2 linked regions of the Drosophila melanogaster genome follow. The protein of the gene in region 1 purifies or fractionates together with the protein of each later gene. This does not show direct contact. Each region holds a gene or a part of one and is shown in the gene's direction. Other genes may lie near its edges.

Region 1 (9,009 bases):
GGCCCAGAAAATAAAAACGCCTCTTCTCAAAGAAAACACATGTGCTGGCACTTACAGCAAGCAGAGAATTCCATGTGTTACAAATTCGGATCTGAACATATTTTCGTAAATATTTGTTTTTATTTTATTTAAGTAGGCTACTGTTGGAAATCCTTTCACCAAACGCTTTTCAGAATATTTTTAGATCTATTATTTAATTGATATTTGATCCGATTCTCTATCTGAGACCATGTCCTTCCGGCCATGTCCTTCTGTCTGTTCACGTCAACTGCAAAAAATTGCACCCCGACCATTTAGAAAAATATACATACATATGTGCCCCTCGCACTTTCCCTATCTTAGTTTCTGAGATATCTGATAGAGGGAAGGAAATCGGCTATAGCGTTCTCCTTGTTGAATTATTATTAAGCTCACTAACTTGGGTCATTGAGTAACGAGTGTATCGGTAGAAGTGAGTTACGCAATTTCCATAACCACGTGCCAAGGCCGGTTGGTTCCACTACTAAACGTAACAAGAAGGAACGTGACGTCACATGGAGGGACATGTGCTTATTACGGCAACGTTATGTTTACTATATGAAAGGAATTTGAATTGAGACGATATCACTTTCAACTAATTTTTGATAATGATTTTGATCGAGTAACAAAGCCTTCTAATTATGCTAAATGGCTAATAGATAAAAGGTTATTTGATTTCGATGAGCTTCTCAAAAGCTGAAATACGCAACAAATATTACATTATGTTCCGCAGAAGGTAGGCATTGAGCATGAATATTCTCAGAAGTCACCACTACCTGACTTCGCTAGTTTTTCAAGAAATTTCCAATATCCCAGGCGTTTGTTCAAACTATTGGCAAGGACCAGATATTAGTCCACGCAGACTAAAAGCAATTAGTGATTGAGACGTTCCATTATCCTGCTCTTGTAGCTCCATGCCGAGAATGACAGGTAGAAATACCTATATGTGTATGTGCGCATGTACAAATGCATATGTGTTTTCAGGTATCGAATCGATATCCATTTTAATTAAATATATATTGCTATTTTTATTTCGGTAAGTTCTTTTTCAGAAGCCAAATCAGTGTAACTCGATTTGTGCATGTTCGTCAACACCATGTTGTCCGCAAAATACTTCTTCTGACTTGATCTTTGGTGAAAAGCACATATCTACATATGTAGAAGCCAAACTGACTTCATGTACTTAGAGCCCGTCCTCATACAGAAGCCAAATCAGTAACCGCAACTTTACCTAATTTTAAAAAAAATCTTTGCAAATGATTCCGAAGTAATTCTAGCTGGGGCGTACGGAAAAAATGGTTTACTTTTAAAGGAACAGATCAAATTTCGCCGACACGTACACGAACCATTTTTGGAAGTCCAGCATTCTTATCCTTGAACTTCCAGCTTGACAAAGGCTTGATCGCGACCTAAACGGCGGTAGCGGAGGACTGCTCAGGTTGCTACACTGGAGATTGTGAAGTCTGGGGTCTGTCCAATCGAAGAAAACAGGTTAGGCCGCAGCCCAATCGCATACTTTAAAAGCAGAACAAGTCTCTAAAAAAACGAAAGTCATCATTCAAAAAGCATTTCGCGCGACAGACTCAAACTCGTGCCCAGTGTACATCTGCTAAGGATATCAGACAAAAAGACGAAAAGAACCCTAATGATATTAGGGAACTGGCTCTTGCATTCATTCCAGCGGCAAGTTTTTTGTTGTGCGGCGTTCGAAAGAATGATCAGCAAATTTAAACTTTTTCCTAGAACTGATCTTTTTTTTATCCAAAACGTAAGGAGGTATTCATCCTGACTTAAATAAATTTCCAAATACAAGCATATACATATATACATACATAAATATAAAAGAAGCCATGATAATCCAACTTACAAAATTATGACGAGTTCTGTTTAAAAAAATACATACGTATCAAATAAAATATTTGTAAACTATCTAAGAAACTGACCATTCTATGCCTAAAAATCGAACAGCTTGTGCAATACTAAAATTAAATGTTGACATTATTAAGACCGTTGCTTTTACTTTCTTCGCCAGTGCCATCCGCAGATGAAATACATACTAATACATATTTTATCACGTATGCACAAATGAAATTGACGCTGGTATATGCGTTGTGTCCAGCAGCAATGTTGCAAGAAGAATAAACTGTTTTAATAAAGTCCTGATTATGATAGAGGCTTTAACAGCCTTATAAGTCAAACTTTGCAAAATGGAGAGCAGCCGAAATTAATTAATCTTACCTAATTCAATGGCATTTAAGATCTTTTTCTGTCCAAAATATTGAATGTATATTCATCCCGATAAGTTTACAAAAAGTCAAAAGACATTTTGTCATTGAAACATAAGTAAGGCCGCAGAAAAGTAATACTTGCAATCAATAAGTTGAATACAAATTTTTTCTAGTCGCAAATCTCAAGCGAGCGAATATTTTCATTCATAAAACTAATAATGTGGTAGTCAAACATGTTCGACAGCGAACCGATCCAGCGGTTCGTACCACAGTGCTGGCAGGTCTTTCTGCCTAATATTTCTGGTGCCAATAAGTTCAGAGGCCTAGCAAACTTAGCTGTTCAAAATTTTGCTTTAAAGTATTTATATATTTCTTGTAAAGATAAATACTTTATTTCTTATTAAGCATATAATTTACTTATGGAAGAAATATATTTTCTGGCTAAGGGCGCAATTTTTTTCAAGCCATACACACATTAGGACAACGGACTCTAAAAAAACTGAATGGTCAACACTGATAACCAAACGCAGTTCGACCGCGTGCTGCTTTTAGCATGAAGCCAGCCGGTCCCTGGCGCAGGCCATTTCAATCCGCAAGATATTTTCAATCCGTCAGATACTTTCGTTGTGAACAGTCGTGCTCCGGTCAGAAGATTTTACGAGAAATCGTGAAAATAAAAAGTTCTAATAAGTTGAAGATAGTGCCAAAGCTCACATACGGCTTAACCAAACCACAAATTAAAAAAGTGCCTTTAAACAATACGTGACATTTCAATAGGTTTATGTTAACATAAAGCCCGTAATTGTGAATAAATAAAATATAAGCCCACAAAACTATTCAAATACCGTTTTCGGATACGCGCTACTTTTAAAGTTCTTGAATGTCCTTCGCGGCTATGGCGAATACCAACACAGAAAAACTTTACATGCAACTAAGCGCATCGGAATTATCAGCAATTATTATGAAAGGTGGGTATTTACCTTTTGCACGAGCAAAGGACACTGCACCTGTTGCCTGCGAATTGTGCGGCACCTGCAAATACTTACATAAATATACACACCTACATACATAGGTTTTTTATGTCTTGCAGTCGGATGATTATAATCATTTCCCGCAAAATATTTGTCGACAATAATTTGTCAAATAGCTGTATATTCATTTTTGTAATCGAAACCCAAAAAGAACGAATACAATCATTAAGGCAAGGAGGCTATGGCCCAAGGCTATGCAATAGACACTGAAGATAATTGACGACCAACATTGTTAATAGGGGGTGCTGCCGTGTGCACCCAGAAAGCCCCACCAACTAACACGTTGCAGCAGAATCATATTAGCAGCAGACTTGTGAGGATGGCAATTAAGATGCAGACAGATACGTAAATAAAGCCAACTATGTGTCGCCAGCGTACTCCAACTTTCGTCTTGTGTTGCATATGTCGGCCAAGCACTTTGCCCGCAATGGCGAATTTGGGACGACGATGTCGCCAGACATATTGGCAATTTGTCTGTTTGTGAAGCTGGAGCGACAGTTGGACTCTGCATTGTGTGTCCCTTTTCACCACCGCCTGCTGATTGTTATAATGTTCGAGGACAGACGTTAACTCCTTCCATATTGTTGGTACTGTTTACGTCAGCATTTCATAAAATCGATTTTATTTTTTGTTTCTGTGATCATTTATTTAAAATGCTAGTCTTAATCAGCAACGTTTCGAAATGATTAGTCTAGATGGCCATTGGTTTGGATAGAATAAGGTGTCTTTAATTTAAATTGATCACTATGAGTTTATAAAAATTCCACTTATATTATTTTACTACATAACGCAATGTAGTAACAGGAAAGCCGAATGATATTGGGTTCGTTTTATAACCAACGTAAAAATGTCCTTACCAAGTGTGTCAAAGTACTGCATGATCTGGATGTGTTCTTACGATTCATTCATAAAAGTGATGCGTCATTTTACTACAATATATTTCATATAGTCGCTATAACATATTTACATTTATGTACGTATGAGTATATGCACTTGTTATGATAAGACGAGGCTTCCCACACAGGGAACGCTTCCCAGTGGACCGACCGCCAGCCAAAAGCCGCCTATGATGATAACCTTTCGTTGACTTTTGGCGTGAATATGGGATTTTCTTATGCCTCTGACAGTTAATGTCTGCCGTTTTTAAGTAGGTTTTAGCTGATTTTCGCAGGAGGGCATTCATTCTTAGAAAAAAAGGCCAATAACGGGAAAACCGTTGTCAATTTCTGAGCAAAACTTGCTATTTTGTACTTGGCACCTAAAGACGGATCAGATCCATAAAAAATAAACTAATTTGGGCGTACAAAAAACATCTTAAAATATTCTTAATATAAACAATCGAGAATAATACCTTCTTCCGTGTATACTAAAAATAAAATAAAATGTGCAGGTATTGCCCTTTGGTCGTTAGATGTAACTTTAAGTGTCTGATACGGACAACTTAAATATAAATTGGTAGAAATTTATTTTTTAAAAACTTGGCAAGCTTTAAAAATGTTTCCGTTTGGCACAGGTGTTTTAAACTAGACGACGCCTGCGAGGACGGTGGCTTAAAAGTAAACATTTGTCTAAATATAAATTAAAATGCGGTATATAAACCACGCAAGACATGGGATAGAGTTAGGGCTATAAAACTGATGTTATTTGTACAGCCTGATTTCGTGGCCGCAATGTCAGTCAGTTGCTTTGAATTTCGTTTCGTTGTTTATCTGCCTAAAATTAGAAAAGATAGCAGAATATTGTGCTTATAAATAGTTGAATAAACATGCAAAAAGCTTACCTTCCGTAAATGTGTGTCCGCACCGGTTCAAACAAACAGGGAATAAATTTACTCATTCTTAGCCAACTTAGCTTAAGTAATTAATTTAAAATTAATAACAAGTAATTATTGTATGTATGATTGCTGACAAACATATACATATATATAATGGATAGGCTGATAACACAATAATTGATTACAAAAAAAATTAGCTGTTGAAGACAAAGTTTTTTTTTGCTTAAATACCGGAATACTTATAAATATCCTAGCAGATTCTATACCTTTATACTTTGCTGGCACAACCAAAGTTGAAATCGCAAACAAATTCGATCCATGTATGTATGCTCGTTTATATGCATTGTGATTTTTTTTTAAATTGCTAACCGGGTTGTTGGCTTCTGATGCAGTGGCTGCTTCATGCTGAACTTGAACTGGCTTTATTCGCCAGACTTGAAATAAATTACTTTTAACAAGTAAGCTGCGTTTCGGCACTTCAATACTTGTGGAGGTCAGTGGTAAATTAAGAAACCTGTTTTGTTTTCGTGATCAATGCATAATTTCACTTTATATAATGGACTTTCTTCTCATGTAACCTCCGATTTGAATGTATTAAATAGATTTCATAGGGTGGAAGAACATATTATAGATAAGAAAATACGTCAAAACTACGTCATCCAATTAGTTTCGATCAGATGGTAATAAAAAATAGTAACTAAAGATTTGGGATTTATTGAATTTTGAAAAGTCGAAGGGGTGTCACACAAAGGCAGTCGCAGCCCTATTCGGCTTGCTGGCCTGTTCCGCGAAAACGGGGGTTTTTTTAAATTTACGAATACGAAATGCCAAACATTAGTAACCGGTTCGGCGTAATACGTCACAGATAGAAGATAACTAACTCTTAAATTTTTTGGTATTTTTAGATTCACCCAATTCCAACGACCGTGATGCGGGTTTTTGTTCCGCCAGTTCGGAAAGCGAAGGCGGAGACGACTTGGTCGTCGAGCACGCGCGCAGTGGCAGTCCCGACATCAGACCAAAAGGAACAGACTCGGCGGACTCCAAGCCAATAGCCCTTGTCCGCAACAAACGCAAGAGTTCGGAACCCTTCAAAGTCGTAGGTTTGACGACTCCCAACTCTAAATCCATGCCTGGTCCTCCGTCCAGTGCGAGTATGAATGCAACTGGTCCGCTAAAGAAACGCATACGATACACATCTTCCGCCGATTCGGCAGTTGTCCTAACGCCACCAGCCATAGACTCTCCACCGCCCAACAGTTGCATACCTTCCACGTTGCGCCTGCAGCATGAAATAATGCCTAATCCGGCACATATATATGTTCGCCATCCGGGAGTTACGACTCTTCACAGATCGCTTGCTGCCCACCCAGAACAGCTGGAACCACTCGCATTAGTAACGACCAAAAAGCAATGTGTCGACCAAGCGGGGCCTAAAATAGAGGCCTTTTCCGCATTGCTAATTGGAAAACAGCCATCCGCCAAAAAAACGTTGAAGGAAAGGACGCAAAAAGAATCAACGTCATCTTCCTTTTTAGAAGCTAGTCTTAGCGATGAGGATCTGAACAAGACGGGATTGGCACCAATTTCGCGACCTCATCAACATCAACGCAATTACAAGAATATGACTAGGGAGCGCCGCATTGAGGCGAACGCACGTGAACGGACCCGTGTACACACCATATCCGCCGCCTACGAAACGCTCCGCCAAGCTGTTCCAGCCTATGCCAGCACTCAAAAACTTTCCAAACTCTCCGTTCTTCGGGTAGCGTGTTCCTATATACTAACCTTAAGTAGAATGGCTGGCGAGGATTACAGCGCCGATCAATCCGTACCGTCCATTGCCACGTGCTTAGAAGCTGTAACATCAACCATCCAAACGGAGGGAAAAGTGAAACGAAAGAAAGACGAGTAATCTGTCCAGTTTCGTGGATAACTTACTTTTTTAGACTTTAAATGCGACTGATTTCTGCTATTTTTTTAAATATTTGTGCTTAAGCTTAGATTAATCTGCATACAGCATTCCTATCCACATGCTTTGATTCTTTGCCAGAAGTGGCCTAATAGCTTTAAAAGTTTTCAAGGCTTTGTTAGATATACAGACTTCATGAGTTTAAAAAAAAAATTTTTAAGTATGCCTGCATACAATTTGTATTTGATATTGACATTGTTATGAATAAATACTAGCGATGTGATCATAATTTAATCTCTACCTACAGAAACATTTTAGTCAGTACAAAAAGTCAACGCCATCTATGTACGAGTGTATAAAAAGACAATAATCGGCATCCTTAAAACCTATGTAAATGACAATAATGTAAACTATATATTTACCTAAAAAAGTTTCAGTTTCTTGTTTCAAACAGGATTTTTATATCAATTTACAAGTTTTTAAAAGAAGCTTTGCCAAAATGTTGTAATTTCACCATCAACTTTAGTTACCTTAGGACTGAATATGAAAATGTATATTTTTTTACATGTACCTCTATAATAAGATCAATTCTTCTTTTACGAATTGCATACAACAGAGATAATCAGTAGTAATTAAAAATCCGTAGTTACGAAATTAAATAAAGAATTTAACAAATTTCAGTTTATGTAAGTAACTGTAGACGTTTCCTCTTCAATTGTAATCTCATTGTTTTGTATACATTGATATATTTGTACCCATGTATACATTCATAAGTGTACGTGCCATAGAATCAGGAAATACACAAAACTTACTATAAAGAGAATGTATTTTTATATAGAGTTGGGATTTCAGGTGGTCGCGGTTAAAATATTAGTCATCTGGGTGCAAGCGCACTAAAGGAAACCATATAGAAATGACGGCTTTAAGGGTTATTTTATGTCTGTACGTTAAACAATCTTATCGTTTGCAACAAGCTATTTCGTGATATTAAAAACTCAACAGGTGCGCAAAGAACGGCACGCTATCGATTTAAGTACACCTGAACGCATCCACGTTATCGTAACGAGTTTTGGCAAAACTTAGTCCCCTTATCAGGTTCGGAAATATATTTGTCAGCTTATCTAGCAGGCACAAAGTTTACCAATATCACAGTAAGTTGACAGTGCATTAGAACTCATGACGTACTCTGAAAGAACTCAACACTATTAACTATGCATATTATTAACAAAGTAACTGCATCTAGTTGACCCAGTGCAATATCCAGAACAAATTACATCAGCTAAGAATCCTATAGAAAACAGGTTAAAAACAGCAATTTCCGATCAGTACATATATAATGACTTGAGCATTGGCGTTATTCAACAAAGAGCAGGTGGGAACTAGACCTGCAACTTACACATCTATATTAAAGTACCTCCACTTTCCTAATAAAATATTAATAAAACAAATTTAAGAAAATTTTCCCATTAATTGCACACACAAAATAGAGATTGCTAGGCCTATGGTATCCGTAATTTGTTAAGAAAAAAACAACAACGTTACTCCGTAAAATGCTGGATTTTTCAATGAATTTGGGGAAATGTGCGAAGGCCCTGTACAAATTAATATTAATTTTTCTTGCTTTAACATCGAATTTAAAGACAATCCCAGCCACATGCTGTGTTTTAAAATTTTCATTCTCCTGGTATCCCAATAATATTTAAAAAAATGAACATCTGCTCATATAAAAATGACTTCTAGTAGCAATGTTACAAATTAGCATTTGTGTAAATAAGTTAAAAAATATAAACTATAGTAAACCGGTGCATCACATGTCGTGACGAGATGTTATTTAAGTCGAAGCAAACTGAAAAATTGTTGCGCAAATATTGACTTTAAAGTCGTCTAAAAATACCACAAACAATTGTAGTTGCAGCTTTAAGTTATAGCAGACGACAAATATTGTCGCACCTGTCACAGGTGTGGCAACGTCTATTTCGGGGCAGTTGCCAGTTGCGCGTGTGCCTCACAAGGTGTTGGTGCGAGGGTGAGCCAATAAACTAAGTA
Region 2 (4,901 bases), on another chromosome or scaffold:
CCTCTACAGCGCGCAGCGCTCGACGACTAGGGCCAAGCAGCAGGTGGCCAGTCACGTGGCCCAAGAGTTCGCCCACCACTGGCTCTCCGACTTGGAGAATGCCGCCCTTTACTGGCTGCACAATGGCCTATCCGACTATGTGTCCGGATTTGCCGTGGACAATGTGGAGCCCGCCTGGCGGTTCCATGAGCTATCCATGGTGCGACAGGCATTGGCTGTACTAGTTGAGGACTCCAAGAGCAGTGCTTATCCCATGAGTCTTGCTTACGCCTCGAAGTCCTCAGATACCCAGGCGAATCAGAAGTCAGCCCTTCTATTCCGCATGCTGCACTCCCTCATTGGGACCCAGGTTCATTTATTTCAATAATTATTGTGTTAGGTAGTTATATCTTCGTGCACCCATAAAACTCCAGGCCTTTTTAAACGCGTTGCGCCTGTACCTGCAGCGCTCGCACAAGGGATCCTCCTCCAATCAGGCATTCCTGTGGCACACATTGCAGGAGGAATCGGACAACCAGATGAGCTTGCGTCAGGACATCAAAGTGAGCCAGCTGATGGACTCGTGGACAATGCAACCGGGTTATCCGCTCATTCGTGTGGTGCGCAACTATGATACCAACGAGGTGACCGTAACCCAAGAGCGCTTTCTGCGCAATCCAGGCAAGCTTATGCAGAAACGCCAACAATGCTGGTGGGTGCCACTGACCTTCGCAACAGCCGGCATCGATAGCTTTGTATCGACGCTGCCCAGCGAATGGCTGACCTGCCAGGGCAGACAGACCGCCAGTCCGCTTATCCTTAACGAGGTGGCCCAACCAGACAAGTGGGTGGTCTTCAATCTCCGACTGGCCACGCCCTGTCGCATTACCTATGACGAGCGCAACTGGCAGCTGATTGGAAATGCTCTTTCCGGCACAAATGCCAGCAGCATTGACCGCTTTACACGGGCGCAGCTGATCAGCGATGTCCTCAACCTGGCCGGTGCCGGGGTTGTCACCTACGATCTGGCCCTGAACTTTCTCGGACACCTGCGAAACGAGGACGAGTTCATCGTGTGGCAGGCGGCGGACACGTATCTGGAGTGGCTCCATCGCACCCTGCGGCAAACCACCATAATCTCTACATTCAAGGTAAGTTCTTCATAGTATGTGAAAGGATATGGAAGCTTTATTGCAAGCCATTTTCGACACCAAAAAGCTTTGCGAATACAGGGTGACTAAAATTTGTGATGTAGGTGGAGCCCATCGACAGCGAGGGTATTACGATTTGGTCAGCTTTTTTAAGCTCAGCTTTTAAAAGAATTGGTTTTTAGAAAGCTCAGCATGATAGACTAAACTCAGGAACAACTGTTAATGTAGCATTAATCCTTTGTCTTAGGGCTTTATGAGAGACCTACTGCAGACCAAGTTTGATGAGCTCTTTAAGAGAGATGGCTCCGCAGCTGAAAATGCAAACATTACCGAACTGATGGTGATCGTCCTGCAGTTGTCCTGCCGAACTGATCTGGAATCCTGTGCGGACTTCGCACTCAAGGAATTCGCTGGCCTCACCCTGGAGACCAATCGCATTCCGGTGGATCTAAGCGAAACCATCTATTGCACAGCCATACAGTTTGGAACGGAAGCTGATTGGACGCTGCTGAGAAGACTCTACACGCGGTCAAATGTGAGCGAAGAGCGACGGATCCTTCTGAGTGCCATGGCCTGCAGTCGAGAAAACTGGGCGCTGGACAAGCTGCTCAACCTGGCATTTGCCGGTCGATATATGCCCAAGGATGATGTCCTGCTGATCTTCAGTGCCGTGGCGCAGAATCCTTTGGGCTACAACATAGCCAAGAAATACCTGGTGGACAACATCAAGGCAATCATTAAATTGTACGAGTTTGTAAAAGCTTAAACCGTCCAATAATATCACCTCTGCACTTTTAGATATGGAAGCAATACCGATGAACTGGCACAGCTAGTTACCGTTCTTATGAAAGAGGTCACCACGGAAGAAGAGCTAAACGCTTTACGAATGTTTATGAGAACCGATCTTCAGAACCTTCCGGGCTTTGAAATAGCCTTTCGTCGAATCCTGGAACTGGGCGAAGACAACATATCATGGCATAACCGACAATACCATAATCTGCTGGCCGCCGTTTGCAATATAACCGGGTCCATAGAGCCGCAGTGCATCTACTAGAAAGACCACAAATTTCGACTCCGATTTGTAAAAAATTAGAATTTCCAACTTTGAATACTGGTCGATAGGGAATTTCGTTACGAATTCAACGAGGTATCCCATTCCACATTTGGGCGATTATTTTTATTCTTATTAAGAAAATACTTATTATTTTTTACCAAAAAATTAAATTTCCCAAAAAACGGATATTTACATGCGGGGCTTTCTTCATAACTTGGCCAAAAAATATATCACCGCTAAAATGAAGACTGTTTTGTACTGCCAAATAACATAGCTAACTATCCCTATCACTATTTTTATGATTCCAAAAAAAAAAAAATTTAACAAATTTTCGAATTTTCGATCATCATCTAAATTTGCGAAAAATGGCAAAAAATTTGAGTTTCTAACTTTGAATCCAGGTCGATAGGGAATTTCGTTACGAATTCAATGAGGTATGACATTCCACATTTGGACAAATATTTTTATTGCTATTGAGAAAATACTGATTATTTTTTACCAAAAAATTCAATTTCCAGAAAACGAATATTTACATACGGGGTTTTCTCCATAACTTGTAACTACTATATCAATTAAAAAATAATTTTCCAATCGCAATTGATGGACCTATTTAAAAGTAGACTACTTTGAAACATTGTGTTGAAACATTCTGTCCCAGAAAAAACAAAAACCCAGAACAAGCCAAGCTAAAATTGTCACTTCAGTCGAATCGTTATACATATTAAACCAAACCGAATTAACGATGAGCCAATACGACAATCCGTTTAAGATTATCATCCTGGGTGACAGCGGCGTAGGCAAAACCTGCCTGCTGATGCGTTTCTCGGATAACCAATTCACCGAAAGACACCGGGTCACGGTGGGCATGGATAGAAGGGAGTGCAGCGTGGAGTTTGCCGATTGGAGGATGGGGAGGATGCTGCAAGTCTGGGACACCTCCGACGACGAGCGCTTCAAATTGCTGAAGGCGACCCAATGTCGCAGTGCCCATGGCATACTGCTCGTCTACGACATAACGTCGTCCAAAAGTTTCCAAAACATCGATGGCTGGATGAAGGAGATACGGCGCCTGTGTCCGGATAAGGTAACCGTCCTGCTGGTGGGCAACAAAAGTGATGATCCGAACCATCGCCAGGTGAGCATGGCGCAGGGGTTCAACTATGCCCATCGTCAGTCAATCTGCTTTGAAGAGGTTTCCGCCAAGAGTGGAAGGAATGTATATGACATATTTAGCTCGTTGGCAATGGACATATATACATATCGTCGTGTACATTACAACCCGTTCAGCTTGACATCTTGGCAGGAAGAGGAGGACGCTGAAGAGTCACTGGATTAACCAATTAATCGAGCTGGCGCAGATCGGCAGAAGGCCAATGACACCAATACCAATCATTTGACATTATTATCATTAATATAATATTTTAACATTTCTATAATGTCTACAAGCTCCGTAAACTTCTTGCCTAATGAAAAAATAAACTATTTGTAATGTGAAACGGGAAATTGGCGAAAAATGTACATCAATAAATTACAACAAAAAATTACGAATTCAACGATGTATGATGATATTCCACTTTTGCACAAGTATTTGTATTCCCATCGAAGAAATACTGATTGTTTATTAACAAAAGAACAAAATAAATATGACGTCTAAATGTGATATAATGCAACGGGATTTCACCCCATAACTTGGCCAAAAAAGGTGGCACAGCTAAAAGACTGTTTTGTACTTCCATTAGGTATAGCTAACCATCCCTAACACTATTTTTATGATTCCCAAAAATAAATTTTTTAACAAATTTTCGCATTTTCGATCATCATCTAAATTTGCGAAAAATGGCAAAAAATTAGAGTTTCCAACTTTGAATACAGGTCGATAGGGAATTTTAATACGAATTCAACGAGGTATGACATTCCCCTTTTGGACATCTCTTTTTGTTGCTATCGAAGAAATAGTGATTATTTCGTACTTAAAAATCCTAATAAGAACTTTTGTATAAAATTCGATTGTTGATAACAGGGGTCTTCCTTCATAGCTTGGTCAAAGTGTAGCCCTGGCTTTGTTATTCTTGCACTGCAGCCCTGCTCATGACGCAAGTGACGTCACAGTCGCACACTTTGTTTGTCCACTGGCACACACACACACGCGTTGGCACACGCACACCACGACAAAGAAGGAGGACAGGCACACAAGGAATTTCAACCCCCAGCGAGAAGAATAACAACAACCCAGCACGGAAAAAATCGCTGCATACGTTCAGGCGGAGCGTGTCCTCTTTGGGGGGAATAGTAGTGGCGATAAAAGAGTGCGGGGGAGCGTGGGCGCGACGGCGGGGGAGCAGCGAGTTGAGAGCGGAGCAGGCGCAAGAAGAGCGCTCGAGAGAACCGGGGAGAGCGCTCGAAGGATATTCGAGAGCGACGCAGGCGCCTGGCCGCCAAAGCAGCGACGCCGGCCGAGGCATCGACGTCGCAGTCGACAGAACCACCACCACCCGCACGGGCACGGAAACAAGGAGCTGCATCCATCCGTCCGCCCATCGCCAACCATTACCACCCACCACCCCTTGATGGCGCTGCTGAAGCTGCCGCTGCTGCTGCTGCTGCTACTGCTACTGCTGCTGGTGGCACCGAAACACAACAAACCGTAAACCATTGGCGCTGGCAGCGACGTTGCGTCGGCGTTCGCGACTGTTGGAATGACAGGATGTTGGCTGCAG

The links. The genes of interacting proteins can lie anywhere in the genome.
Region 2: the proteins of net (region 1) and Rab9Db purify together in Drosophila melanogaster (affinity purification with mass spectrometry, with the first as the bait; one large-scale study listed by BioGRID). This does not show direct contact.

The regions. Positions count from the first base shown.
Region 1 is NT_033779.5:81,225-90,233, reverse strand, and holds net (net), read left to right. Parts: upstream 1-2,846; 5' UTR 2,847-3,141; coding exon 3,142-3,214; intron 3,215-5,956; coding exon 5,957-6,966; 3' UTR 6,967-7,813; downstream 7,814-9,009.
Region 2 is NC_004354.4:10,621,184-10,626,084, reverse strand, and holds Rab9Db (Rab at 9Db), read left to right. Parts: upstream 1-2,859; 5' UTR 2,860-2,926; coding exon 2,927-3,520; 3' UTR 3,521-3,730; downstream 3,731-4,901. Other genes in the region: CG9806 (uncharacterized protein), read left to right, coding at 1-349, 414-1,130, 1,378-1,874, 1,929-2,184.